2 linked regions of the Caenorhabditis elegans genome follow. The protein of the gene in region 2 interacts with the protein of the main gene of each other region in a biochemical or structural test. Each region holds a gene or a part of one and is shown on either strand. Other genes may lie near its edges.

Evidence for each region.
Region 1: of the proteins of zim-3 (region 2) and chk-2, one has a biochemical effect on the other in vitro, tested with the Caenorhabditis elegans proteins (one study listed by BioGRID).

What each region holds. Positions count from the first base shown.
Region 1 is NC_003283.11:19,902,298-19,917,879, forward strand, and holds chk-2 (Serine/threonine-protein kinase chk-2), read right to left. Parts: upstream 13,727-15,582; 5' UTR 13,677-13,726; coding exon 13,636-13,676; intron 13,583-13,635; coding exon 13,446-13,582; intron 13,390-13,445; coding exon 13,259-13,389; intron 13,216-13,258; coding exon 13,077-13,215; intron 12,971-13,076; coding exon 12,834-12,970; intron 12,485-12,833; coding exon 12,377-12,484; intron 12,026-12,376; coding exon 11,906-12,025; intron 11,853-11,905; coding exon 11,796-11,852; intron 11,747-11,795; coding exon 11,660-11,746; intron 11,583-11,659; coding exon 11,458-11,582; intron 8,710-11,457; coding exon 8,612-8,709; intron 8,371-8,611; coding exon 8,291-8,370; intron 7,706-8,290; coding exon 7,547-7,705; intron 6,852-7,546; coding exon 6,840-6,851; 3' UTR 5,789-6,839; downstream 1-5,788. Other genes in the region: fars-2 (phenylalanine--tRNA ligase), read right to left, coding at 202-356, 1,917-2,189, 2,807-2,972, 3,686-3,788, 4,030-4,186, 4,987-5,136; Y60A3A.19 (Protein YIPF), read left to right, coding at 14,272-14,386, 14,456-14,606. UniProt on the Caenorhabditis elegans protein: Serine/threonine-protein kinase which is required for checkpoint-mediated cell cycle arrest, activation of DNA repair and apoptosis in response to the presence of DNA double-strand breaks.
Region 2 is NC_003282.8:10,550,613-10,565,874, reverse strand, and holds zim-3 (C2H2-type domain-containing protein), read right to left. Parts: upstream 7,161-15,262; 5' UTR 7,155-7,160; coding exon 7,056-7,154; intron 6,993-7,055; coding exon 6,271-6,992; intron 6,114-6,270; coding exon 5,852-6,113; intron 5,766-5,851; coding exon 5,514-5,765; intron 5,434-5,513; coding exon 5,240-5,433; intron 5,192-5,239; coding exon 5,130-5,191; intron 5,085-5,129; coding exon 4,949-5,084; intron 4,909-4,948; coding exon 4,890-4,908; 3' UTR 4,665-4,889; downstream 1-4,664. Other genes in the region: him-8 (C2H2-type domain-containing protein), read right to left, coding at 2,060-2,160, 2,370-2,422, 2,471-2,664, 2,714-3,026, 3,478-3,809, 3,869-3,961; zim-2 (C2H2-type domain-containing protein), read right to left, coding at 7,851-7,927, 7,975-8,027, 8,079-8,272, 8,364-8,624, 8,697-8,976, 9,275-10,065, 10,128-10,226; zim-1 (C2H2-type domain-containing protein), read right to left, coding at 10,563-10,581, 10,626-10,779, 10,831-10,892, 10,938-11,131, 11,186-11,440.

The sequences.
Region 1 (15,582 bases), on a different chromosome or scaffold from region 2:
ACCCCCTAACCGCAATTTTCAGCGTTTTAGCGCAATTTTCCGTCAAATCAGGTGCCAGGGTCCGCAAACGCCAGGCTACAGTAAGCCGAAACACCAAATTTGACGGAAAATTGCACTAAATGGCTGAAAATCAAGATGTAGGGGTAATTTTGCGCGGGGAATTCGAATTTTTCACTTAAAATCAGAGTTTTCAAAGTCTACCTAATATCCGGAATTCCATAGAGCACCATTGCAATTCTCTCCAGCCCTATACCGAATGCCCAACCAATTTTGTCAGTTACTCCGGCGGATTCGAGCAATTTTTGCTCCATAATTCCACAACCGAGCACTTCAAGCCATTGCCCGTTGTAGAAAACCTGAAAAATTGGATTTTTCGGGGGTCTAAACATGAAAATTTTGAAATTTCAAGTTAAAATTCAGATTCTCCGTGCAAAATTGCCCCTAAACCCAGATTTTTAGAGGTTTAGTGCAATTTCGCGTCAAATCTGGTGTTTTGGGTTACTGTAGCGCGGTGTTTGCGGACCATGGCACCTGATTTTACGGGATTTTGCACTAGAGGGCTGAAAAATTGGGCGGTATGGGTAATTTGGCATGGAGAATCTGAAAATCAACTCGAAATTTCAAAATTTAGAGTTTTGGAACAAGTTTTTCAGTGAAAATTTGAAAATTTTTAGAAAATTATGAATTTTCACCACTTCAGGCCAGAATTCTCGTTCTGAAACTATTGAAATCGGTTTCTCCGTACCAAATTACCCTTGAATCCCAATTTTCAGAGTTTTTGTGCAAAATTCCGTCAAATCAGGTGTCAAGTCCGCAAACACCGCGCTACAGTAACCCAAAACACCAGATTTGACGGAATTTTGCATTAAAACTCTGAAAATCGGGGGTTAGGGGTAATTTGGCATGGAGAATCTGAAAATCAACTCGGAAATTGGAAAATTTTAATTTTCGCCAAAGTTTTTTTTGGTGAAAATTTGAAAATAGTCAGGAAAATATTGATTTTTACAATTTCAGGCTGGAATTCTTGTTTTGAAACTATTGAATTCGCTTTGCCCATCGCAAATAACCCCTAAACCCACAATTTTCAGCGTTTTAGTGCAAAATTCCGTCAAATCTGGTGTTTTGGGTTACTGTAGCCCGGTGTTTGCGGACTTGGCACCAGATTTGAAAGGATTATGCACTAGAGGGCTGAAAAATTGGGGTGATGGGTAATTTGCAGTGGGGAATTCGAATTTTTTGATTTCAGAGCGAAAAAATTCAACCGAACTGCAGAAAATTTGAGATTTTTCCTTCAAAATCTCAGAAAAAACGTTCATCTTTTTGGCAAAATTGTCGTCGCGATTTTCGAGTTTCTCGTGCAAAACTACCTCTGGGCTCCGATGATTTTCAGCGCAATAGTGCAATTTTTCGTCAAATCAGGTGCCAGGGTCCGCAAACACCGCGCTACAGTAACCCAGGGCACCAGATTTGACGAAATTTCGCACTAAAACGCTGAAAAATGGGGGTAGGGGTATTTTGCGGCGAGGAATTCGAATTTCTCACTTAATAATCGAAAATTGCAAATTGGAACCGTGAAAATCCAATTTGTCTTAAAATCCTATGCTCAAAAGTCTATAAAACCGAGCTCCAATTTCGAAATCTTAAAATTTGAATTCGATTTTCAGATTCCCCATGCAATTTTACCCCTGACCCCCGACTTTCAGCGCAATTGTGCAATTTTGCGTCATATCAGGTTTCAAGTCCGCAAACACCGCGCTACAGTAACCCCAGAGACACCAGATTTGATGCAAAATTGCACTAAAACGCTGAAAAATTGGGGGGTTAGGGGTAATTTGCGGCGGGGAATTCGAATTTTTTGGTAAAAAATTGCCATTTTCAGATTTTCCTGTCGAAAATGGGGATTTTTCCGCCCGCACCTCCAACTCCCACGAGGGATGTGTAAACGGGAAATATGCATCAACCCATCGTTTTTCGGCGTCTTTTCCGAAAAGTTCATCACAAAGATTTTCGAGAAACTGTTTCAGTTGAATTTCGGCGGCTTTCGTCGCGTCCAACGTGTGTTTTTCCTGTTTTTCAGGGGACCTCTCCGTGGCCGCGGAGGCGGCCGTGGAAAAAAGTTCGGCCACATTTTTTCCGTCCGGCTTTTTGCCGAGTAGTTCGTCTTTCGAGTAGAGCCGAACACCTTCGATCTGCAAAAAATCAAAATTTGATTTGCAAATTTTCACACAAGTTTTTGAGTTAAAAATGAAAATTTGGGCATAGCTTCCGCATCTCCGGTGGCAAATGCGCTCTATCGCGAATTGTTGGTAAAAAACGCGGTATTTATTGCATTTTCAGCCGAGAATACCGGATTTGTACCACCAATTCGAGTAGAGGCACAGAAGCCACAAAAAAGTTCAATTGTTAGGCTTAAAGGCCTGAAACTAGGCTTCCGGGCCTGAATTTTCAGATTTTCACAGCTAAAAGCCTGATCGGAGCACAAAAATTATGATTTTATAGGTTGAAGGGGTTCAAAATTAGGCTTGGCAGCGTAAAAAAAAGTTTATCGTTTTTTTTGGAAATTTATTGATTTTTTTGGGAATTTATTGATTTTTTTGGAAATTTATTGATTTTTTTGGAAATTTATTGATTTTTCTGTAATTTTATCGATTTTTCTGGAAATTTATTGATTTTCTGGAAATTTATTGATTTTCTGGAAATTTATTGATCTTTCTGGAAATTTATTGATTTTTTCTGGAAATTTATTGATTTTTTTGGAAATTTATCGATTTTTCTGGATTTTTTTCAAATTTTCTCCATTTCGAACCTGATGGAAGCATGGATAATGTGTCCGATCGACTTCATCCCTCCGATAGACGTCTCCAATCACTAAAAACGCGTCGAGACCCGATTGCATTAAATTGTGCTGGTGAGCCGAGGTATGGGCTCGCAAGCAGTGCTCATGGTTCACGTAGTACGTATCTGAGGGACGTCTAAAATTTTTTTTTCGATTTTTGGACTGAAATTTGACGTTTTAGGCTTAAAATTTGGTTTTAAAACTGGTAATTTCGGATTTTTCACTACAATTTTATTTATTTTTTTCATTTTCATTAGAAAAAATGATGCAAAGTTAAAAAAAAGGAGAAAAATTTTTAAAAAAAGGGAAAAAAAACGAAAAAAAATGAAAAAAGAATGAAAAAAAATGCAAAAAAAAAACAAAAAAAAGAGAAATAAACGAAAAAAGAAAAAAAAATTTCATTCTTTTTTCATTTTTTTTTCGTTTTTATTTCCATTCTTTTTTAATTCTTTTTTCGTTTTTTTTTTCATTCTTTTTTCGTTTTTTTTTCGTTATATTTTTTTTTCTTTTTTTTTCATTCCTTTTTCATTCCTTTTTCATTCTTTTTTCATTCTTTTATCATTTTTTTCATTCTTTTTTCAATCTTTTTTATTCTTTTTTCATTTTTTCCTATTTTTCTTTTTTTTTCATGTTTTTTCTTTTTTTTCATTCTTTTTTCTTTTTTTTTTTCATTTCTTCTATTCTTTTTTCATTCTTTTTTCGTTTTTTTTCATTCTTTTTTCGTTTTTTTTTCATTCTTTGTTCATTTTGAAAAAAAAAATTCTCTCAGACGTAAAAAATCGTGAAAAACTCGAATTTTTCAGTCTCAAAACCCAATTTTCCGCAAAAAATCCTCATTTTTATCCCAACCTTGACACATGATCCTCCGGTGTCAGTAAAGAGTCGAAATTCTGATAAGTAGTGACGACACGAGGCTCGGATTCACAAATTGTGAAGAGTGGCGAGCGATTTCCTGGAAAAAAGGTGAAAATTCCAGAAAAATCAATAAATTTCCAGAAAAATCAATAAATTTCCAGAAAAATCAATAAATTTCCAGAAAAATCAATAACATTTGAGAAAAAAATTTTTTACAAAATTTATTGATTTTTCTGAAATTTATTGATTTTTCTGGAAATTTATCGATTTTTCTGGAAATTTATCGAGTTTTCTGAAATTTCATTGATTTTTCTTCAATTTTCACGTATTTTTTTTACCTGGTTTTCTGTATGTTTGATGTACATAATCGACAATTCTTCTTTTCAACAAATTCAGCGGATTCGAAGATTCTTGGAGGATACGGCGATCCAAAAGCCGTCGAACACCTGGTGACAGGTTGTATAATGCGTCTGGAGTGTATTTTCGACCATCTAACTGAAAAAAAAATTGGACATTTTCGCGGTTTTGGAATGAAAAATGGGGGAAAAGCAAAAAAAAAGGAAAATTTTCTTTTTTTTTCTTCCTTTTTTCATTTTTTTTTTCGTTTTTTTTCCCCTTTCTTTTCATTTTTTTTCATTTTTTTCTTTTCTTTTTTCGTTTTTTTTTCTCTTTCTTTTCATTTTTTTTTGTTTTGTTCTTTCTTTTTTGATTTTTTTCTTCCTTTTTTGTTTTTTTTCTTTCTTTTTTCGTTTTTTTTCTTCCTTTTTTCATTTTTTTTTCTCTTTCTTTTCATTTTTTAAAAATTTTTTTTCATTTTTTTTGTTTTTTTTTTCGTTATTTTCCTCTTTTCTTTTCTATTTTCATTTTTTTTTCGTTCTTTTTACCTTTTTTTCCTCTTTTCTTTTCTTTTTTCATTTTTTTCCGTTTTTTTCCCTTGCTGAAAATTGGACTTTGAGACAGAAAAATTCTAAATTTTCACGATTTTTTACGTCTAAGAGAATATTTATAACGAAAAGTGAAAAAAAGAAGAAAAAAAAAGGAAAAAAAAATGAAGAAAGAATGAAAAGAAAGAAAAAAAAATGAAAAAAAAATGATTTTTTTTCTTTTTTCTTTCTTTTTTGTTTTTTTTTTCATTTTTTTCTCTTTAAAAAAAATTCTCTTTTCTTTTCCTTTTTTTCTCATTTTTTTCCTTTTTCCTCTTTTTCCTCTTTTTTCCTTTTTTCCTCTTTTTTCCTTTTTTTTTCGTTTTTTTTCCTCTTTTTTTCTCTTTTTTCCTTTTTTTTCACATTTTTTACCTCAAAAACCTCTTCTTTCACTATTTTTCGTGACTCCTCTGCCGCTGCCGTTGTGCTCATCAACGTGGCTCTTATTGACTTGGCATTTTTCTGGAAAAGCATTGTACAACATCGTCGAGCACCCGTTTGATATGTGGAAAGAAATCGCATTCTGAATATAGAAAAATCAATAAATTTTCAGAAAAATCGATAAAATTCCAGAAAAATCAATAAATTTTCAGAAAAATCAATAAATTTTCAGAAAAATCAATAAATTTCCAGAAAAATCAATAAATTCCCGAAAAAATCGATAAATTTCCAAAAAAATCGATAAATTTCCAGAAAAATCAATGAATTTTCAGAAAAATCAATAAATTTCCAGAAAAATCAATGAATTTCCAGAAAAATCGATAAATTTTCCGCAAAAATTAGTAAATTCGGAATTTTTTCAAAAAAAATTTAGATTTTCAGTTAGAGGAAACTGTAAAACTTTAAATTTTGTGTTTTTTTATTTCAAAAATTCAATTTTTTTCAAATTTTTTCCGGAAATTGTACAAAATTACAGTCAAAAAAATGGGGAAAAGCTTAGAATTTTAGCTCAAAAATTGAAAGTTTACACTTTTTCAAAAAATTTGAATTTTTTTGGACTTTTATCGATTTTTAGCTGAAAAAATGGGGGAAAAGCCTAATAAAAATTCAGCTAAAAATTGAGAATTTCAGATTTCAGAGCAAAAAATTCCGAAAAATCACAAAAAAAATGGGAAAAGACACCATTAAACGGAGCTAGAAAAAAGCTTTGCAAATTTAGAAAAAAATTAACAAAAAAAGTTCAATTTTTGAAAACAAAAACGCAAACAGAACAGAACAGAGAAAAATTACAGAAAATTTCACAAAAAAAAATTTTTTTGGGGGGGGAAAAGCTTAGAAAAAAAAATGAAAAAAAAAATAAAAAGAATGAAAAAAAAATGAAAAAGAATGGGAAAAGCTTAGAATTTCGGGAAATTGGGGGATTTTTAGCTGAAAAATGTGGAAAATTTGAAATTTAGCGAAATTTTCCGATTTTTTGAGCTCTAAATTGAGGAAAAGCTCAGAATTTCGGGCAAATTGGGGGGATTTTTGGCCACACAATTTGGGAAAAATATTGGATTTCTTAGCTGAAAAATTTGGAAAATTCGATTTTTTTCAGATTTCTGAGCTAAAAATTGGGGAAAAGCTGAGAATTTTGGGAAAATTATAGGAATTTTTAGCTGAAAATTCGAATTTTTAGGCAAAAAAATAGGAGGAAAAGCATAAAATCTCAAGAATTTGGCAAAAAATTTGCAAATTTTAGGGATTTTTCAATTTTTTTCGAATTTTTTGCAGAAAAATTTTCGATTTTTAGCCAAAAATTCAGATTTCTGAGCTAAAATTGGGGGAAAAGCTTAAAATTTTGAGCTAAAAAATCCGATTTTCAAGCTTAAAAATCTGATTTTCGAGCTAAAAAAAAAATCGATTTTCAAGCTAAAAAAAAATCAATTTTCAAGCTAAAAAATCCGATTTTTCCCATCAAAAATGCTGAAAATCGGAATTTTACATGTGAGAATAGCACAAGAGGTGGGGCAAAACACAAAAAAATTGAACAATTTTCGAAATTTTGGGAGAAAAACGCAATAAAATGGGGGGCTCTGGGAGCTTATAAATTGGAATTTTAAAAAAATTTTAACGGGAAAATATGGAAATTACGGGGAATTGGGGGATAAAATTCGAAATTTATGATAAATTATGTGTTGAAGAGACCTCAAAAAGACACATCTTGGACGCAATTACACCCGATTTGACGACAAATTGCGGACTTTTGCGGCGGTGAAGTGGTGGGGACCCACGTGGAACGTTGTTCACATTTTTGCCTGAAAATAGGGTTTTTAAGGCTAAAAAATTGAAATTTTCATATATTTTTTGCTGAAAATCGAAAAATTCCGGTTTTAACGTGATTTTCAACATTTTTTTGCGATTTTTAGTTGAAAAATTCAATTTTTAGTGGATTTCGCTATTTTTTTCTTTAAAAAATTGAAATTTAGCTGCATTTTTCTGAAATTTTCCATTTTTGCAGGTGTTTTTACTTGAAAAACGCTAATTTTATGAGATTTTTAAGATTTTCAAGCGAAAACCGTGAGCGAAAACCGAAAAAATAGAAATATTGAATTTTTATGTGAAATCACTAAAATTCCGGGTTAAATTTGATTTTCTGCGAATTTTTCTAGAAATTTTATCGATTTTTATGGAAATTTATTGATTTTTCTGGAAGTTTATTGATTTTTATGGAAATTTTATCGATTTTTATGGAAATTTATTGATTTTTATGGAAATTTATTGATTTTTCTGGAAGTTTATTGATTTTTATGGAAATTTTATCGATTTTTATGGAAATTTATTGATTTTTCTGGAAATTTATTGTTTTTGGAAATTTATCAATTTTTCTGAAATTTTATTGATTTTTCTGAAATTTTATTGATTTTTATGGAAATTTATTAATTTTTCGTCAATTTTCCGCGATTTTCAGTGAATTTTCATCATTTTTCGCCAGAAATCTCCAATTTTTGACCTTTTTCACAGGTCCAGCTTGTGTAGTTTGTAGTGCAGCTGGAGCTGCTGCTGAAATCGGCTTAATACTCTTCAAAATATCCTGTTTCGCAGTACGACAATCCGCACATTTCATCCATTGAGTACTCATTAGTTCGACGGCAGACGGGCGGTTTGATGGCTGAAAATTGAGGAAATTTTAGCTCTGAAAAATGGGATTTTAAGGCGAAGAAATTTTTGAAGTTTTGGCCGTTTTTAGAGCGAAACATTTAGGAAATTATTGATTTTTAGTGAGTTTTTCGACGAGAAATCGAAAAATTTCACTGAAAATTTCATATTTCGGCACTTTTTTTGGAGTTTTTTACTTTTTTTTCTGAAAAAATTGGCTTTAAAATGTAATTTTATACATTTTAAATGCAAAAAACCACTTTAAAAGTTAAAAATTTGAATTAGCAGCGCCCAAAAACGTGTAGTTTGTAGTTTAGCAGCGCCCAAAACTTGTAGTTTGTAGTCTAAGCAGCGCCCAAAATTTGTAGTTTGTAGTCTTAGCAGCGCCCAAAACTTGTAGTTGGTAGTTTAACTTTAAAATATCAAATTTGGGCCATTTTTTATGATTTTACATATTTTTAGGCGAAAAACCCCAAAAAAATCCATATTTTCCAGTATTTTAAGTTAAAAATCTCATTTTTCGCTGATTTTTCCAGTTTTTCACTCCAAATTCTCGATTTTTTAGGCCAATTTCTTCAAATTTTCTTTTCATGTTTACCTCGACAGTAAGCATCCATTTGATCATATTCTGTGTTTCGACAGTAATTCGACGCCATTGTGCGTGGAAGATTAGGCGGCCTGAAAAATTGGAATTTTTAGACGCTAAAAATCGATTTTTTCGGTAGTTTTCCGGCCGGAAAAATGGCTTGAAAATCGAAATTTCAGCATTTTTACACCGAAAAATGCTCTTTTTCGAGTCAAAAATTTCTATTTTTGCTTGGAAAACGGCTATTTTTCGCATTTTTTCCCGAATTTTAGGTCAAAATCACGGATTTTTGCCCAAAAATCCGTTTTTTTCACTGAAAATTCGTCAATTTACCTGTCAAAACTTGTTCATCCATCGTCATATCCGTATATTCTTCGCTGAACGGTGGATAACCGGAAAATGTGATGAAAAGTACGCATCCGAGGCTCCAACTGCAAAGAAATTGGTGAAAATTTGAAGTTTTTTGGGAGATAATTGACGTTTTTTTTTCCAATTTTTAGTAGAAAAATCATCAAAAATTGAATTTTTCGAGTGGAAAAGCTAAAATTTTGAATTTTTATATAAAAATCGATTTATTTTTCCAATTTTCAGTGGAAAAACTTGAGTTTTTTGCAAATTTTTCGGTATTTTTGACCGAAAAAACCAAGTTTTTGTGATTTTCGTGCGGAATTTCGGATTTTTCCGGGCAAAAATTAGGGAATTTTGGTCATTTTTAACGGAAATTATTGAAATTTTCATGTTTTTCGGGAAAATTTGTTTTAAAAATTTTCCGATTTTTGAACGAAAAAATGAATTTTTCGGTCGAAAATCCAATTTTCCCCAGAAAAAACAAACCAATTTTTTTAAAATTTTTATTTTAATAAAATCCGAGTTTTGGGTGAAAATCGACGTTTTTTTCTCAATTTTCAGCCAGTTTTTCTTAAATTTTGACCCGAAAATAGAATTTTTGAGTCAAAAAGTAGTGTCGAAAATTCGTAAAAATTGCAGATTTCTGCCGAAAAAAATCAATATTTCCCCAAATTTTGTCAGTAAAAGTGGAGAAATTGGGAAAAAAACTATGAAAATCCCCGAAATTTGGTCAGAATTTATTAAAAATTCAGGTTTTTCACAATTTTTGGCTGAAAAAAAAAACGAATTTTCCACTAGAAATTGCCCAGAAAATCTCAATTTTCGATGGTTTTTCGCCGAAAAATGCGATTTTTTCGATGTTTGCCCTTCAAAAACTGAAAATTTGGCATTAAAATTTTTCCATAATTTTTCACTAGAAAATGCCAAAAAATCTAGTTTTCAGACAAAACAATCGAAAAAATGCCAATTTTTGCCGATTTTCAGTAAAAATTTGCATTTTTACTCGAAATTAGACGTAAATTCCCGGTTTTCTGGGTTTTTTTCGGCGAAAACCTCAATTTTTTGAATTTTTCTTCAAAAAAAAAAATCGAATTTTTGGATAAAATTGATATATTTTTTGTGAAAAAGTTTTTGTGATTTCCGAGCGGAATTTCGGATTTTCGCGGCAAAAATCTATGAAAATTGGGTTTTTTTTTTCGTATTTATTCAATTTTTCAGCGAAAAAATTGGCAATTTTTGTCATTTTCCACGGAAATTATCGAAAATTTCCGTTTTTTGAACGAAAAAATGAATTTCAACGCTATTTTTCGGTCGAAAACCGCATTTTTCCCCCGAAAAAAATCACGAAAATTGCCAAATTAGGCGTAAAAACGAGGAAATCCAAATAGTTGCAAATTAGCCATGAAAATTCCTATGAAAAATGGGAATTTCTACTGGAAAAGAGGCGAAAAAAGACGGAATCTCATCAAAAATTCATCATTTTTTTTCGCATTTTCAAGTGTCTAGATATATGCCAAAAACTACTTGAAAATGCATAAAAACATGGAAAAATGTGGAGAAAATCGATTTTTCGGCCGAAAAATTGAGTTTTTCGCCGAAATAAACCCAGAAAACCGGGGATTTATGACTAATTTCGAGGAAAAATGACCAATTTTTACTGGAAATCGGCAAAAATTGGCATTTTTTCGACTATTATTGGCTGAAAATGAGATTTTTTGGCATTTTCTAGTGAAAAATTATGGAAAAATCTCAATTTTTATGCCAAATTTCCAATTTTTGAAAGGGGAACACCGAAAAACTCGATTTTTCGGCGAAGAACCGTCGAAATTTAAGATTTTCTGGACAATTTCTAGTCAAAAATTATGAAAAACCTGAATTTTTTAATAAATTCTGACCAAAATCCCGGGTTTTTTGAGAGATTTTTCCAATTTTTCCGCTTTCAGTGGCAAAATATCGGGAAATATCCATTTTTCGACTGAAAATTGATTAAAAAAAACACAAATTTCTGAAATTTCCACTGAAATTATTGATTTTCGGCTCATTTTTCCAGGAAAAAACGGTTTTTTTACTGAATTTTAGCCAAATTTTGAGCAAATTTCCGAATTTTCGATGAAAAATTTGAAAAAAACACGTTTTTAATCGGATTTTTCACGAAAATCTCCATTTTTGATTCATTTTCACCAAAAATTATCGATTTTTAGCTGAAAATTAGAGTTTTTCGCCGAAAAAAATTCAAAAAACCGGGGAATTATGTGTAATTGACTCTAAAATCGTCGGAAATCTTTTTTTTTTCGATTATTGTGGCTGAAAATTAGATTTTTTGGCATTTTCTCGTGAAAAATTATGAAAAATCTCAATTTTTTTGCCAAATTTCCAATTTTTGAAGGGAAAACATCGAAAAACTCGATTTTTCGGTGAAAAACCACCGAAAACTGAGATTTTCTGGGCAATTTCTAGTCAAAAATTGTGAAAAACATGAATTTTTAATAAATTCTGACCAAATTTCCGGTTTTTTTGATAGTTTTTTTCCAATTTTTCCATTTTTACTGACAAAATTCGGGGAAATATTGATTTTTTTCGGCTGTAATCTCTTGAAAAATGGGATTTTTATCCGATTTTCAGCATAAAAGCTAAAATTTCTTTAATTTTCGTAGTTTTTGGCTCAAAATTTCAATTTTTCTGCCAAAATTTGTGGAGAAACTTCATTTTCCATCGATTTTAGTGATTTTTCCACGAAAAATTCGAATTTATTATCGATTTTCACAATTTTAGAGTGATTTTCGCTCAAATTTCCGAATTTTTAAGTCATTTTTGCCGATGATTCTACTAACATATCGACTTTTGGCGTGTACTCAACACCCTCATTCGCCACAATTTCCGGCGCATTATAAGACGGCGTTCCACAGCGAGTTTTCATTCGATTCACCGAATTTTTCGCCATTCCAAAGTCGGTTAGCTGCAAATTTGGAGGTTTTTCGGGTGAAAATTGACTAAAATTCAGCTTTTTTGAGCCAAGAAATTGCCAATTTTCACCTTTAAAATGCACCGCTCCGCTTTATCCGAGCACAGAATATTTTCGGGTTTAATGTCACGATGACAGATTCCAACAGAGTGAAGATACTGAAAAAAAACGAGCGGTTTTAGCGACGAAAAATTACCTAAAAATTACCAAAATCGCGTCGATTAGCTGAAAAGCGAAATATTTTCCGAGCGATTCACCGAGACCCTGAAAAAATGGAAAAATTAGGGAAATTTTCGGGATTTTTTCGGCCAATTTACCATTCGATTGTACTTGGAATCGACGACTTTTGAGAAAAATTCGCCTCCGCCGACATATTCGATAACCATATATGAGTACTTGGCGACGGTGATCCAATCGTAAATTGCAACGATATTTGGCTGAAAAATTAGAATTTTTAGGGTTAAAATGGCATTTTTGAGCATTTTTAACGCGAAAAATCACTTTTTATCGATAATTTTAGTGAAAAATGGCTCGAAAATAGGCCAAAAACCATTGAAATTGAATTAGGAGCGCCCAAAAATGTGTAGTTTGTAGTGTTAGCAGCGCCCAAAAACTGGAAAATTCTCATTTTTGAGCATTTTTGACCAAAATTACTTCAATTTTCGCTTAAAATTATGCTTTTTTGATCGAATTTCGTGAATTTTCAGCGAAAAATGCGGAAAATTTCGATTTTTCAGCAATTTTCCGTGTAAAAATCGATTTTTCAGCAATTTTCGTGTATTACTAACATGGCTGAGCTTCTTCATAACTTCAACCTCATTTCGAATATCTCGAGTTTTAGCGATTGCTCGGCTGCATCTTGTCGAAAATTGTGTGTTGAGCTGTTTAATAGCCACCTGAAACATGAAAAATTGATGATTTTTCCGGGAAAAAATGGCTGAAAATCGATTTTTCCCACAAAAATTGAGGGTTTTTATCGATTTTCCGTGAAAATTTCAAGGTTTTCGGCAAATTTTCATCGATAAATGTGTTTTTCCAGTTAAAAATCGCATTTTTCAGAGGAAAATTTGAATTTTCACAAGTTTCCGGTAAATTTTGGCGGTTTTTAGGTGAAAATCAGCAAAAAAAATGGCTGAATATGCACCAAAACTGGCGAAAATTCACAATTTTCGGAGATTTTATCGATTTTTCTGGAAATTTATCGATTTTTCTCCAATTTTCGGCATTTTCCCACGCCGCCCGTACCACTGATCGATCGGATTTCTTGTATCCGAGCAAAACTTTGCCAAAACCGCCTTTTCCCAGCGAATGGCTCGTCACGTGGTATTTTTTCGTCAGTTCCTCCGGATGATGGTCGGCGTCGGCGCTTTCGTACACGAAAACTGCAAATTTTCGGGGTTTTTTTGGGAAAAATCGACGGATTTTGGCGGAAAAACCCGTTTTTTTGGGCAATTTTACCCTAAAGCTTTAAAATCGTCAAAAACGCACTGATCAGCGCTGGAATCCCAATAGAGATCAAATCTCCGTTCATTAGCTCTCTGGACAGCCCTTTTCCGATCATTTCCTGATTTACGAGGGTCCCGTTGCGTGAGTGATCGTGTAGATAGATTCTACGCGTTTCTGTGTCCTGAAATATTGATTTTTTTGGCGATTTTTCAGTAGAAAACTACTCTATCAATGGAAAATTGAATTTTCGAGATAAATCTGTAGAGCCCGACGTCTTTGGCGACTTGAGAAAAGTTGAAATTCGTCGGAGCATCATCCGAGCCGCGTCCGCACACGAAATGATCGTCTGCCAAGTCTGGAAAATCGATTTTTAGCCGGAATTTCGTGAAAATTGCGGGAAAATCGACAAACCGATGGAAGAAATGCCTCGGCGGACGCCGACAAGCTTCGCGAAGGGTTTTGAAGCAGCACACTGTGATTCTCCGACGACAAGATCCTCGTCGACGGGCATCGTGTCGTCTCGGGTGACCGGAACCACCACGATTGGCCTAAAAAATTGAATTTTTTGCGATTTTTGGGGCAAATTTTGGTGATTTTTTACTTTTCCGCCGAGCTCCGACGTCTTTTTGTCCCGCGAACCATGGAAATCGCTGAAAAAATGGAGAAAATTGCGAAAAAATGGAGAAAATTGCGAAAAAAACGAAGAAAATTGCGCGAAAATTCGATTAAAAACAACTAAATCCTAAATAAAATACGAAAATACGAAAATCGCGGCGAGACGCGGCGAAACCCATCGATAACGAGTACTGCGCCTTTAAAAACTACCGTAGTTTTTTTAACGAATTTATTGACTTTTTCATTGGTTTTAGACTCAAAATCAATAGGAAAGTCGATTTTTTTTTCAAATTTTTTGTAAAGTTTTTTGAAAATCGTGAAAAAAACAACCAAAGCTTGCAAAAATTGAGTAAAAATTAAAAAATCACAAAAAAACATTAAAATCGCGGCGAGACCCATCGATAACGAGTACTGCGCCTTTAAGAACTACCGTAATTTTTCAATGAATTTTTGGATTTTATTCAGTTTTTCCGGGTTTTAAAACGTTTTTAACGTAAAAACCTGTTTAAAATGGATTTTTTGCATGAAATTTGTCGAAAATTTGAATTTTCTTCATATTTTTCTCGAAAAAATCGCTGAAAACCACCTAAAACCCCCGTTTTTTTTTCAGAATTTGGTGAAAATGGACTACCCGGGCACTGGAGTCAAGCAACCGGAGGTCTCTATCGACTTAAATGGCTTTTACTCGTCGAATTTCGAGCAATTTGAGCACCCGGACCAGTCATCTAACGCGCCAAGTACGAAAAATCTGAATTTTTAGGCCAAAAAACTAGAAATTTCCGTAAAAAATCGATTTTTTTTTGCAGATTCCGGCTCAATTTCAAGCCCGACTGGACAAATTTCAGCTCAGGCTTATCGTCGTACTAATGCTGGAGCCGCTGGAAAATTTATGGAGAATAGTGGATTTGGGTGGCTTCTGGAGGTCAATGAGGAGGACAGTGACCAGATTCCACTGCTGTAAGCGCCAAAAATGATGGAAAATTGGCTACAATCGAAGAAATTCGAAAGAAAACGGAGAAGAAGTCGAAAAATTTGAAGAAAAATGGGCAAAACCCCCTTTTTTCGACAAAATTCCCGAAAAATTGCAAAAATCCTAACTTTTTTTGGTTTTCCGTTAATTTTTCAAGTTTAAAACCTAAAAATTCAACTTTCCCGCGGAAATCTACCCCCAAGCCCCATTTTTCAGCGTTTTAGTGCAATTTTGCGTCAAATCTGGTGTTTTGGGTTACTGTAGCGTGGTGTTTGCGGACTTGACACCTGATTTGACGGAATTTTGCACTAAAACGCTGAAAATTGGGGCTAGGGGGTGAAATTGCATGGGGAATTCCAATTTTTTAGTTTTAAACCGCAAATTTCGACCTAAAACTAGGAAAATTCGAGATTTTTCTGAAAATTTGAAAAAAACTAGACTTCAACTCTGAATTTTTCAATTTTCGAGTCGATTTTCAGATTCTCCGTGCCAAAAAACCCCTAAGCCTCATTTTTCAGAGATTTAGTGCAATTTCGCGTCAATTCTGGTGTCTTGGGTTACTGTAGCGTGGTGTTTGCGGACTTGACACCTGATTTGACGGGAAATTGCACTAATGAGCTGAAATTTGAGGTCAGGGGGTGAAATTGAATGGGAAATTCAAATTTTCTAGTTTAAAACCGTAAATTTTGATCTAAAACTGGGAAAATTCGATATTTTTCAAAAAATTTCGAAAAAAGTTCAAAAACTGAGTTTAAACTTCAAATTAATCGAAATTTAAGTCGATTTTCGGTTTTCCCAGCCAAAATTACTCCTACACCCCTATTTTCAGCGATTTAGTGCATTTTTGCGTCAAATCTGGTGTGTTGGGTTACTGTAGCACGGTGTTTGCGGACTTGGCACCTGATTTGACGGAATTTTGCACTAAACTTCTGAAAAATTGGTTTTCGGGGTGAAATTGCATGG
Region 2 (15,262 bases):
CAACAAAATTGAAGGAAGATGGATGTAAAATTCGATTTGACTGATGCTTCAAATTTTTATCAGACTCATAGTTAATGTTTAGGGTGAAGTTTCTGCTCCGATTCTATTGCTAAATATTTTTCCCAAGTTATATATGATAACTAAAAGTTATACACTAATATTATCACTCACGGAGATACATAATAATCAAGGAAATATCCCGCTTTGTTTATTGTAACTATAGTAAAATCTTAACACAGAAAATATTTTTTGTATTACCTATACTTATCTTGTAAGCTAGAGTGATTTTAACATTTCCTATTCCATAATAAATTATTTTCAAAGATCCTTGCAACACTTTGCACTTTTCATAATAATGTGTCCTTTTCATCGTGATGAAATATTCTGAAATTCGATTTACTAAAATTGAATTTCGCCAGATTTCGTTAAGAGCAGTTGATCTTTTTTGGATTTGGACACATACTTTTATTTTAACTAGGGTTCAAAGCTTCTACGTACGAAGCTTCTAGAGCTAAGCGTAATTGTTTCTTGGGCTCAAGTTAATAATCGAAGGGAAAACTTTAACTATGAAGGTGTTTTGTAAAAGTACAAAACAGAATTAATAAACTGTTCAGGTTTTTTAATTGTTCATTTTAGTCGGCAAAACTATTTGAGAGCTTTCCACAAAAAGCTGTTCTACAGTAATTACTAAGTTGTTTACAGATGGAACATTTAGTTGAAACATTACGAAACCTTGTGAAAAATGCATTTTACCACAACTTTACTAGAAAATTTTGAAAGTTCCTGGATCGTTTTCTTATGATTTTTGGCCATACATATTGAACTATTCTATGGTGTATTTAGACATATTTTGTAAATTTGTAAATAGTAATCGCTTATAAATTAAGATTTTTAGCTAAACAGTTTCCAAACATCTATCTGAATAACGTATTCTAATCTCATTAATGATTTAGAAGTACGGTACAGTAAGATAGTGTAAATATCGGGTAATGGATTGAAAGTTTTGGAAATCATCTTTACATGATCACATAACATGAAAAATTTTTGTAGAAGTATGCTTGAAATCAACTCCAAAAATAATTATTATTTTGGATGGATCTGAAACTTTCAAACTTTCACAGTTAATAAAATCTTTAATTCTGAAATTATAAACTTACAATCAGCTTAAACTTGGGTTTGCTTAATCCAAGTACCTACCTAACCTTTGCCTAATTTTGACAACTTCTGAACAAGTTAATATGTTTTGACAAATTTGGCACATAGTTGTCGGGGAGTCAGCCGAAAAATTCTTAGAAGGGATAGTATTTGAATAACATCAAAAGGTCATTTAAAATTGTTTCCAATTCCAATTCGCAATTTCATAGAATGCAACGCAAATTTTGCAAAGAGCCGACATGAAACTCATCATAAATTCCTATCCATTTTCACGCCGGTCGCTCATAATAATTGAACCGCAACAGCCTCACTACGCTCACTCCAATTATAATAAATGAAGCGATTATCGAAATAGTTGACCGAAGAGGGGGAACTTTTCCATTAAAAAATAAGACCGGTAAATAATGGAAAAAAAGAGAAGGTAAAAAATTGCTTCATCTCTGTGTATATAATGATGAATATCCGTTTTTATGAGCGCGTCTCGTATCGAAAAAAAGAAGTGGTGGAGGAAGAAGTTTTTATAGGTCCGGTGTGTCTTTTTATGGGTATCGTGACGCTTTAGGCGCCGAATTTGTCGTAAAAGTACGATGAGGAATCTGTGAGAACATCAAACAGCATTGAAAGAATTTTATTCATTAACCCTTGTATTACCTGATTGTAGAGATTTATATCATTTTAAACAATTTGAAGCGCCAGATCTTAAATTTCCATTTTCTGAGCCAAAGTTTTACTAATCTCGAGCTGATTATCAATAAGATTTTATTAATGACACAAACTTTGTAGAAATATGACATAAACCGAATTATATTAAAATTTCGAGATTCGTGCTGTAGGCATGTATAATGTATGAAGTATGCAATATGCCGATATTTACAAAATAAAACGGCTGTGAACTTGCAAAGTTCTAGATGCCACTTCTCTTGGACTTTGACTTGACCCGGCTACGGCGGCTGCCATTTTGAGATTTTGGAGGATTTTTTCGTTTGTTCATCTCGACCAATTGATCTGAACAATTGACTTTCAACTGAATTATGAAACAGAATTTTCAGTTTCCAATCCATGTTTGAAATTAAATTGAACAATTTGGCCTACAGTAAATGAATTTTTTGAGTCGATTTTTATCAAGAAGATTTTAAAAATTTAAAAATTAGAGCAAATCTAAAAAATCAAAAACCATATGGATGTAAAACTATAATTTTTAACTTGATACTTACCTGCGAAACAAGCATTCATAATTTTTTGGAATCCTTTATTTTTGGTTGGCAAGCTGAAAAATTTGCAATTTGTTGAAATATTTTAATTTCAGAAAGTTTACCCAGACACTCCGAAGCCTTCCATTTTTGATGTTGAGTGAAAAATGCGATAGTGATAACGCATTTGACGGATTGTATGACAAGTGTGCTTGCATTTTTTGCATTTCAGAAAGTTTTTATCGCAATGGACCAATGCGTGATCGATAAGACGAAGTTTTCCATATTTCCTCTTCCACGCAATTGCTCGATTGCAGTTCTGCAACAATCCAGGTAATGGAAAAAAACAAACAGAAAATTTAACTCACCGGGAAATGACATTGAATATTGTGGATTTCATCTTTATTAATCTCGTCGTTTTTGCTGTCTGGAGATTTCATTTCATTCTCATTCAACTGATCTTCATCACCGGATTCGTTGTGATAATCGAAAAATGTAGGACTTCGTAATGGAGTCATCACTGTGGTTCGATCAACATCCATCAATTCTGTTTCATTCATAATAACATCATCATTCGGTGGTAATGACTGATACTCTTCATAATCATCAATATTTCCATCGTTGTCTACACCGTCTTGGAGAAACTCCGACTGTCCAGATGATACAATCGGCGAATTAATACTGAAAAAAAAACGAAATTTAAATTCTTGTGACTAACGGTACCCGGTCTCTCGGCAACCGTTTTTTTTCAGGTTCAAAAGAATGCACCTTTAAGGAGTACTGTAGTTACTAACTTTGTTTTTGCAGAATCCGCATTAATTTTTCCTAGTTTTTCCTCCGTTTCTTCAAAACTTGATGTATTTTAATATACATGATTCAACAAAAAAAATCTGGGAACCACAGTACTTTTTAAAGGCGCACACTTTTTTGAATTAAACTAAAATCGATCTCTAGGGTAAAAATTACAAAATTTTGCATATGGGTAATGTCTAAAACAGGTTCGAAGCTTTGAAAAAACAAGTGAATGAATTTTTAATTTGGACTACGAGAAAATATTCAGCGTAATTTAAGATTCACTGCTAAAAGAGTTTAAATTATTGAAAAAAAAATTTTGTATTAAAAAAAAACGTACTCGTCTCCATCTGCAATATTCGTCGTATGATTGGAAACAACATCTTCGATTATCATATCCATAACTTTTTCCACACTATTATTACTTTCATGTGAACTATTTAGTTCTTCTTCTGGTTCTTGATCATAGCTTTCCTTCAAATCTTCGTTCTCGTCGTTCGGTCCAATTTCGGATATTTTTTCCGAAAGATTCAGTGTGAATTTTTGATATAATCCTACGTTTGGAACGATTGGAGTGGAGAAACGAGGAGTATCGACTGTAGCAGTGTTGATTGAAGATATCGACGTGCTCTCGGTGAGGGAAACAAATGAGCTGCCACCGGCGAATTCATTCTGTAAATCGTAATAGTTTCAAAAACGAATACTCAGCAATGAAAAAAAGATAGGCTTACCAAATATTCAATCAATCCATAATGTTTCAAGTTTTCCAGAGTTTTTCCATAGATTCTGATATTAACAAACGAATTTAAAGAATTTCCATTCATTTATCGTATCTGAAAAAATAATTATTAAACATTTAAATAGGGTCGAGCAACAAAAATAAAGGGAATCACAGCATTAAATATTCAAATTAAAAACAAATAATCTCGTTTTACACGAGGGCCTAGTTTTCCCTCATTCTGCTGTTGCTGCACCATATCGTGCCAGAAGACCCATTTACATGCATGTCATCTGTTATTTCATAATAATCTGGCATGCATCTTTGAAATTAGAAAATTTTCATATTTTAACAAGATATTGACGAGCCTTCTCGTATTTTTTCCGATGGGTCTCGCCGCACAAAAAGTGTATGGTAAATAGGTTTAAACCTAGGTTTTTTTTCAATTTTTTGCTGCTACGCTTTTCTTGTATTTTCAAGAAAAAATCACTTAGTTTTTAGCGAAGTTTGTCGTTTTCTACTCATTTTCCTGTTTAAAATTGTTTTAGATCAGTTTTTTCCATAGTACAATTAACATTTATGATCAAAAATGCATGTTTTACACGAAGAAGGATATTAAAAAAATTTAACAGAAAAATGCAAAGTTAATAAGAAAATTAGCAAAAAACGAAGTAATGTTTTTAAAAAAGGAATGAAGCAGCCGAAAAAGTTAAAGAAAAGTACCATAAACTTTTTGCGCCTCGATGCCCATCTGAATAACTCCGTGTGCCTTTAAGAAGGTATATTAAAATTTAGTGATATCACATATATACAGAACTGAATTTAATAGTCAAAAAAGGTATTATAGATGAAAAACTCGCGGACAAAAAATTTACAAAACAAGTTATTTTTTAATGAAAAACATATTTTATAAGTTTATCTCGACAATAACAAACAAAAAACAAAACAAAACAATGAAACTATTACTAAAAAACATTGCAAATGTTACATGAGTTGACAAATAACACATTGTGCAGAGTCGTAGCGAAAGACGATCAGCGAATTCTGCGAAAACTAAACTTCAGAATAAAATAAAGTATATGGAAAAACCTACTAGAAAAGATCGTGTGATGGTCCTGGAGAGTCTTTATCTACATTCTCATTGTCGACTTCTGGAGTATTTTTCAGCGAGTTTTTACATTTTTTATATCTCCGCGGTTTCCCAATATTTCCGATGATGGAAGAATGTGCTGTAATTACACATTGAATATCAATATTTCATATCTGTCTAATACCTCCGAAGCACTTTTGGAAAAGATCGAAAATCGCCACTTCATCAAATTCGATATTGAACACTCTGAAATAATCGTGTTTTATATAATTTATTGAACAATTGACGGCTTACTTCTGAATATTAAACCCATCACACCTCACTTCTGGATGCATTTTTTGATAGTGATACTTCATTTGGGGATGTGTACTGCAAGAGTATTCACATGTGCGACAAACGAGACACTTTTCATTTTCATGAGTCATTGCATGATCCAGAAGTCGTTGTTTGCCGTATCGAAGTTTCCACGAGAGAATTTGCTTACAACCCTGAAAATAGCTTCTTTTTTTTAAATGTTGTCATATTTCCTGAACATCCTCCCTAAGAAATGGCTCAGATCGGAACTTACTTCGAAATTACATTTAATAATATGATTTTTATTCATTTGCTCGTTTCGCTTGTTAAGACGTTGGACAACTGGAACAGCAAACGAAACTTTTTTCGTCGAAGGAATCGGGCTCTCATCCTCTTCATCATCTTCACTGTTTTCCTCATTCTGCTGTTCTGCCTCATCAATTTCTGTTCCAACTTCTTCATAATTTCCGATCAGCACAGTATCCTCATCATCGAAATCATATTGAAACTCTCCCATGGTATTATGCTGCAAAATATTCAATTAAAAACGAAAATCTCATCATGTTGCGACAATTTACAAATTAGAAATAAAGGAAATCTCTTCAATCCTACCTCAGTTGACAGTTCTATGACTGGATGATGATCAACGATATGATTCCCAATCGAAACTGTTCTTTCTGAATCCGTAGCTTTCAAAACCGGCTTCACGTCCTCAGAAATAGAACTCCTGGGCTCAGTGCAAAGACTTTTTGCTGACAAAAACGATTCATTATCTCCATATTCATTAATTGGTTGTTCATATGAGAATCCATCTTTATCCAGTGGAATTGGTTCGGAGTGTGGCACCATGGTTTCATTTGAGCTTTCAATCGATCTAAAAAACAATGAAATTCTCAAGTATATATTTAATTTTACTGGTTTTTGGCATTATTGGAAGTTTGGTCTGTCTTCAATTGAAAATAGAGTAAGTATATCAACGTTGCTTAATTCGCTATACGAACGGTCAGAATTCTCGTCAGAAAAATTCTTACGTGAGCCGTCTTCTTTTCGTTAACTTTGAAACTGTAGGCTCTATTTTGACAGTTTCTTTGAGACTACTCAGAGTACTCAAACGTCTCGAGCTTCTTCTCTTTCCTTCCTGATATGGAACAATGGAACTAGCTGCTTCAGGAAGTGCTCGATAAAATGACGATTCGACCTCCTGACAGTTGGGGATCAAAGTGGTACAGTCATTGGAGGAATCTTCGAATAATTCATAACCTTGATAATTCGAATCAATTTCGGAAATTCTTTCTGTCATGTTCATTGTAAACTTTCGATCCAAACCATTTTGTGGTTTGATGGGAGTTGAAAAGCGGGGAACACCAATGTTTGCGAGAGTTGTGCTCAAAAGAATCGGAGCTTGATCAACATCGGCAACAGTTTGTACCATTTCTTCGAGCAAATCCTGAATCACGTCTTCCCTGGAAGTTTCGGATTGATAAGAGTTCTCCAGGCATTTATCAGTTTTATCGTCATCCGATAGAATCTCCGATAGCTTCTCAGCCAAATTCAATGTGAAATTTTTTGCAGAATTATATTTTGAATGGCCGACAGCAGGAGTTGAAAATCGAGGAAGCTTGTTAGTGGCCAAAGTTGTACTTAGTGGAACAACTGGTTCGATTGTACTTTCAGAATATGTAGAGCTTTCATTAGTTAAGCTCGTGTACATTGAGCCCTCCACAATCCAAAGCTTGGAGCAACCGATATTGTTCTGAAATAATAACTACTATTCAAATTCAAATAGCAAAAGATAAAATTTCCTTATCAAACCAACCAAAAGAGATTCCAACACAACTCCCTGTTGCTGAAGACCTTCTATAGTTTTCCCATAAATGTTCACTTGAATAAAACTGTTCCAGTCATCGCAGGTCATCTGAAAAATATACCATGAAAACATCAAGAATTAAAAAAATGTCCAAAAACATGTTCTCAGGCGTATCGACAACCGTTATTTACATAAATTCATCGCAATGAATAGTGAAGAAATTGAAAGTTTGTTATCATGATGATAAATATCAGGCTTAAAACAGTCTTTATTCATCTACTGGTTAAAATACAAAAAGAACAGGAACTAAAACGCGGAAACGAAACAAAATACTTCCGACAAATCTAGAAATGAAGAAAGACCTGATCGTTGTGAGACCTTTGACAAAAGTATAATGTGCCTTGAAAGTATACGGTAGGAAGAAATATAATACTGTATTTACTTACAATTAGTTTTTAAATTTTGTTGCATACAGCATTTCTTTTTTTGAAATAATTTTTAACATTTACATTTATAAAAACTACATTTTTGACTCTAAATAATTGTGAAAATATCATGTTTGATTCGTCAAAAGAACGATTAATCCAAAAAAAAAAAACACAATTAACTGAAAAAACACTGTATTTTATTTCTGTAAAACTACAAAATAATTAGAACATGATAATAATTGTACATGAGGGTGTCGTCGTGATGCTCATTAAATTCTGTTAAAACTGGATTTGAAATTAGTGATATGAGCAGTTATGGAGCTTACAAAAACATCTTCACATCTTCCGCTTGTACTCTAGAAGAGATTTTGGTTTTCTATAAGCGAATACTTTTGAGTTTTCGACGAGGAGTTCGTTCAGCTTTTCTAACGGGTCCGATCGTTTTCAGTTGATCTGGAATTTGAATAGCATGTAATCTCTAAATAATTAGAATAATGTACCTCCAAAACATTTATTCCATACATCTGAGAATTTGGTATTTTGAAGAGGAATGCTACAAGAGGGGTTTATCAGTTTTCAAACGGTTAGTTTTAAAAAATCTCACTTGAGAATTCCGAAGCCTTCCATTTTCAGATTTGCATGAATCTTTTTGTAGTGATAACGCATTTGTCGAGTTGTCTGGCATGAATATTCACATTTCTGGCAGTCAATGGATTTTTCCTCTTGATGTGATAGTGCATGATCGACCAGTCTAAGTTTTCCATAACGAATCTTCCAGTGAATTTTTCGATTACAGTTCTGAAAAGATTATTGATTGAAACACATTATATCTATGCGACTTTTTATTGAAATTCAGTTTTTTCTCTGACAACGCGGCAAAACAACTCACATCAAAATGGCATTTAATGTTATGAACTTTATTCATTTCTTCTTTTTGTTTGTTGGGACTTTGAACAAGTGGAAATGCAAATGAAACTCGATTTTTCGAAGGAATCGGGCTCTTTTCCTTTTCATCATCTTCACTGATAACCTCATACTGATCTTGATCATCTACTTCAACGATTTCGGCTCCCACCTCTTCATAGTTTTCAATCAACATAGTATCCTCGACGTCAACGAAATTATTTTGAAACACTCCTTCGATGTTATGCTGCAATTTCATTAATGAAAACGGATAACTCAACAAGTTGTGATTATTTCAAATTCGATTTTTAAACATTACATCTCTTGACAGTTCTATGACTGGAGGTTGATCACTGATAATGCTTCCAGTCAAAACTGTTCTTCCAGAATTCAAAACTTTCAGAACTGGCTTCAAGTCGACAGCATTACAAAAACTGGGCTCATCACAATGACTTTTTGCTGATGAAAATGATTCATTATCTCCATATTCATTAATTGGATGTTCGTACGAAAAACCATCTGATTGAATAGCTGATGTAGAAACAGGAAATGTATGTTCAATATTAGGACGCACAGTTTGACTTAAAATTTGAATCGGCCTGAAAATAACGAAATTCTTAAGTAAATAACTATCGGTGATTGGAATCGTTAGGAGTTTTGAGTATATTTATAACTTTAGTCCTTTCGATACCAAAAAAAGTTTTTTTTAAATAATGGAACTTTTTTTTTAATCGACATGAGTTCTGCTTAAAGTTTAGATGCATCTAAAATTTGAACCTGAGCTTTTTAGACATACAGTTAGTAAAAAAACCCATATTTATCATTTTGAAAGAAATTACATTTTCTCCAAACGAACTTCGAAAATTCAGAAAGCTCGCAACGAAAAAAAAAACTTACGCGAGCCGACTTCTCTTCGTTGATTTTGAGACTGCAGGCTCTATTTTGACAGTTTCCTTGAGACTACTCAGAGTACTCAAACGTCTCGAGCTTCTCCTCTTTCCTTCCTGATATGGAACACTGGAATTCGATTTTGGATTTTTTGGAGTCGAATAAATATTAAGAAAATCGTCGTAGGGCGTATTTGAGAAAGTTCTGGCATTGTTGACACCAGGAATGTTCTCACACAACGACATTTCGACTTCCTCGCAGTTGGCGGTCAAAATTTTGTTGGAATCGTCGAGTACTTCATAACCAAGATAATTCGAATCAATTTCGGAAATTCTTTCTGTCATGTTCATTGTAAACTTTCGATCCAAACCATTTTGTGGTTTGATGGGAGTTGAAAAGCGGGGAACACCAATATTTGCGAGAGTTGTGCTCAAAAGAATCGGAGCTTGATCAACATCGGCAACAGTTTGTACCATTTCTTCGAGCAAATCCTGAATCACGTCTTCCCTGGAAGTTTCGGATTGATAAGAGTTCTCCAGGCATTTATCAGTTTTATCGTCATCCGATAGAATCTCCGATAGCTTCTCAGCCAAATTCAATGTGAAATTTTTTGCAGAATTATATTTTGAATGGCCGACAGCAGGAGTTGAAAATCGAGGAAGCTTGTTAGTGGCCAGAGTTGTACTTAGTGAAACAACTGGTTCGATTGTACGTTTTTCAGAATATGTAGAGCTTTCAGGAGTTGAGCTGGTGCACACGGATCCCTCCACAATCCAAAGCTTGGAGCAGCCGACATTGTTCTGAAAATATGTACTTTGGAAAAAAAGTATAACGAGAAATCAAAATTATTAATCAAACTAACCAAAAGAGTTTCCAACACAACTCCTTGCTGCTGAAGTCCTTCTATGGTTTTTCCATAAATGTTCACTTGAATAAAACTGTTCCAATCATCGCAGGTCATCTAGAAAATTCTTGTAAGAACATATTTAAATTAATAGAATTTTAAGTCTATCTGGAGTGCTCCACTTTCAAAAAGTTATATCGAAAATGGGCAGCAGCAAGAAAGTTCCAAATGAAACGGCGATTAACATTTAAAGTAGGTCTTAGCAAGAAATATTTTCAAACTTGAGTGAAACAACATGTCGTAATTATAAATTAAAGCGGTGATAAAATGAAGACCTTCAGAATTATTAAAAGAAAAGTCGCATAGAATGCATTAAAAACAACATAATATAACATCAACGATAATAACACATGAGACACAATTTACAAAAAGCAGACGGCCCGACGACGAAGCTCATCGAATTCTGAAGAAACTGAATAAAAAAATGACGCGGAATGTTTTAAACTTAATGCTCACTAAAATGGCTTCACATCCTCGTCCCTAGCTTCATCCAATTTTTGTTTTGCACCAGAATCCATAGATTTCTGTGATCTTTTAGATCCTTTGTCTTGTCTTGAGAAATGCAATAGGTTTGAATCGGTACCAGATCCATGTTGAAGGACACGATTTTCTAGAAAGTTAACATTTTAAATTATAACTTTTTCATATATACTTCACTTACTTTTAAAACATTCATCCCAAACCTTCGCCAAGTCTTTTCCTTTTTTCGAAGTACGGACCACACTGAAAAATAAGACAAATACATTAATTTTTGGAATCTCAAAGTACCTTTTGATACCAAATCCCGTTAATTGTTCATCAGGATGACTTTTCTTGTGATGAAGCCTAATATTTCTAATTCCTTTGCACATGTAATCACAAAAATTGCACTTCATTTTCAAGTGAGGGACATGAGTGAAGGCGTGATCCACAAGACGTAGTTTACCGTATTTTTTGCGCCAATTGTACGATTTGTTACACTTCTAAACGGGAAGAAAATGTTGATTTTTCATATTTATTTGTTCTCAGAAACTCACATCAAAATGGCATTTAATGATATGAACTTTATTCATTTCATCCTTTTGTTTGGAGCGACTTTGAACAAGTGGAACAGCAAACGAAACTCGCTTTTTTGAAGGAATCGGGCTCTCATCCTCTTCATCATCTTCACTGTTCTCCTCATTATGTTGTTCATCTGCCTCATCAATTTCTGTTCCAACTTCTTCATAATTTCCGATCAGCACAGTATCCTCATCATCGAAATTATATTGAAACTCTCCCATTGTCTTATGCTGCAAAATCTTTAATTAAAAACGAAAACCTCCCTCACAAGGGAAGTCTTTGAGGGGGTCCCTAGATTTGGGATTCTCATGTTGAAATTCCAATAGAAGAGTATTCCAGATGATCCCTCCAAAAAATTTAGCTGCCCAGGTTGGGTTTCAGCAAAGTTATGACGTTTTGAAAATTCGGTCTGAAATCGGTTGATTTGTATACTAAATCAACGGTCGGCATCAGCCCGGGACACCATAGTTGTCACCAGGCGCGTGGTGTGAGCAAATCATCGGTTGGTTGGTTGAGTGCACAGGTAAACCGCGTCATGCGAATATTCGTCGGGTGACGGGCCGCTATTTCGCGAAAACGGTACATGGCTTTGGTGAAGGCGCGGGCCGCTATTCGATGAAGAACTCGCGAAAAACGGACCGGTAAATGATGAGGACGCTCCGAATGCCCAGCTAGCTGGCACCCCGTTATTCGCCATATATTGAAATTTGCGGTTCCTTAATAACAATTGATAGTTCATAAAAATTTTTATTTTATAAAAAAATAAAATAAAATTTGAAAAAAAATAGAAAATTATTCGGATGGGGACGGGTTTGTCGATGCAGATGACACGTTCCGAGGCGACGAGGCGGCAGGAGTCGGTGATTGTTGAAGTCGCTGAAAACAAAAAATGGTTTTTAATTAAGTATCAACTATTTTTCTTACGTGATGAATAATCGTCGAGTTGACAAATATCACAGTCCACGTGAGCGTGTTGGTGGTGGAGCATCGTCGATCACATTATTCTGTCCCATCTGACTGTCTTCGCTGGAACTTCTACAGATCTTCGCAGTTTGATTGCCCTGATGCTAGACTCTGATCCGAGAATTCGTCCATTAAGTCGAGATCCATGCTACAATTAAAGACCGGAAGTCGGAAATTTGTGCTCAATTTGTCAATGTAATCATTAATTTTTTAACCCAAAATTTTATCAACTCGAATTTTCAGAATCAGCAGCACACTCCCATCCAAACTCCAGAGACGAGTCTCTCCATTTCTATGGATTCCGCGTCGGATCCGCGGATGAATCGGTACCTCAACGTCGGATATGCTGAAACACGAGTATATTTACGGAAAATAATTATTTTTGCCAAAAAAATCAAAGAATTGCTGAAGAAAACTATGAAAAATCGAAGAAAAAGAAAAAAATGGTGAAAAAATAATTTCGAAAATGAGGAGGATTTACGGTAAAGAGGGCGCGCAACCGTTATTTCGGAGTGTCGTTGCCATTTGCGTTTGGAGCTTCTTTTGAAATGGTTTCTCGCTCTTATATTGAAGTCGTAGAAAAGAAAAAATCACTTTGAGTCGTAAATGTGATTTGTGATTGAAACCAACATATAATTGAAAAAAAGTTAAGTTCAATAAAAATTTAATTAAAAATATTTTCCACTGATTTTAAAATTTTGATAAGGGTCCCCCCTTATGAAAAAATTTTGGGAAAAATTTTTTTTCCAAAAAATTTCAATACTGCAATACTTGTGTAGGAAATGTATATTTTAGTATTTTCCACAGTTTTCATAGCTCAATCGCACTCCTGGGCAAAAAAATACAACAGTCAATTTGGCTTGTTCATAGAAAGTCAGTACTTCCAAAATGTTCTACCTCCGCAGGCAGCTTAAATATGAAAAACTTGTCAACTAAAAAGTTGTTGTGAATAAAGTGATTGACAAATTATTTATTGTAACTTTTTTCCATCTTGGATGGCTGAGCAAATAGGAGCACCTAGTTATGAGTCAAATATCACTAATTATGACTGATGATATCTCCGTACTCTGCACAGAAAGCAAAAAACTATTAAGTATGAAACATGTTCAATAACAAACTAAAAAAGTTTGTAGTTGACAATTTTTAGATATCTTGCTTGCCCGATGTGGGACATGACTTCGAAAAACTGGCATATCAGGTAGATCTGTTAGAGGGATAGAGGTTTTTACAGTTTGTTAGTTTTCGAAAGCACCACATTTGGTAAGAAAACTTATTGAAACGAACAAGTAAACATATTTCTACAATATCTGATAAATATTTGACAACTTTTGAAAAAAAAAATTTTTCGATTTTTATGAAAAAAAATCCAAAGGCTCCCCCCTTATGAAAATTTTCTAAAATTTTTTCGAAATTTTTTTTTTTGAAAACTTTTCATAATTTGATCAGATGTTATAGAAAAATGTAAAAATGATTGTTTTTTTAGTTTCGATGTGCTGAACACGAGTTCAAACGAAAACCTGAAGTGTATTAGAACACCTATGTTCAAAAACGCTTTCACTTTGGATGCTTATATCTCCGTGGAAAAAATTTTTATGACAAAGCAATCAACTACAGAGTTGATTATCTTAATCTAATGTACGACTTTGTAGTTGAACGTTTCTCATCAAAAAAATTGGTGGTCGAGATAAAGTTGTGTTAATTGCGGAAGCTTCATGCTTTTATTTTCTACTTCTTTTTCTGTTCCTATCTCGACCACCAATTTTTTTGAAGAAAAACGTTCAACTACAAAGTTGTACATTAGATTAAAATAAACAACTTTGTAGTTGATCGCTTTGTCACAAAAAATTTTTCCACGGAGATATAAGCATCCAAAGTGAAAGCGTTTTTGAACATAGGTGTTCTACATACTACACCTCAGGTTTTGGTCTGAAATTGTGTTTAGAACATTGAAACTAAAAAAAAACTACAAACATTGCATTTTCTGTAACATCTGAGCAAATTTTGAAAAGTTTTCAAAAAAAAAATTTAGGCGAAAAACTTTTTTCAACCATAAGGGGGGACCCTTTTGCTCAAAATTGGAACATCGGAGGAATCATAAGGGGATCCTTATGAAAGTTTAAAAATCAGTGGAAAACATTTTTCACAAAATTATTTGTTGTTTACAATCACATTTCGCGTGTTAGCGGCTGTTCGTTCGTTATTCACCAGTTGCTCGCATGACGCGGTTTACCTGTGTGGTAACGAGATGGGTTCTGGTGGTGAAGGTTGTGGGTTCGATCCCTTGCGTTATAAAGCTTTTTTTAAAAGTTTTACTGTATTTTAAAAACAGTAAAAAGTGTGATTGAAATTACTTTTACTGACTTTCTCCACCTTTTTGAGTTTCTTATAAACGTTTGCATCACATTTTCTCACATTTTTTGAATTAAAAAAATTTCAAAAAAAATCAAAATTTTCATCATCAAAGTCATGAAAAAAAAATAGAAATCTCAGAAAATTTTGAAAACACGCCGGAAGAAATTAGCAGAACGAACAGAACATAACGTTAATTTTTAAAAAAAGTAATAAACTCGTGAATTAGGAGCATCTGTGAGCTGGGAATCCACTTCCCACCCAATGGTGAAAGCAGATACATTTTTTGCAATATGGACAACGGACATATGCCGCGTTTTGGCATTGTAGTATGCATTTGCCAGTAGCTTCGAGACAGTATTTGGAAGGTGTCTCGAATTCAGATGGATGTGAGTCAATGTAGCCTCCTTTGAACCAACCGTACTGCCAGCATGTCTCGAATCTGGGTGCACAGAAAAAGAAGTACACGGCCGAAATCAAACGGAGAATATTGTCACGCTCATGGGGCTTGAACTCGATTCCAGCGTAGATGATATGGGATTGAACTTTTTTGACGAAGTTTTTCATTGGGCAGAAGAGGTAGATGTCACAAGGTTGAATGAAAGAAGTCGCTCCAGGTGGAATCGTACGAACGTGGACCGTGTGTCCATATAGCGCAGCGTCTTGTACGTCCCTTTCATTTTTCCATGCTGGCCATGAGTCAAGGAGAAGAACGGTTTTCTTCGGCATCGCAGGATCGC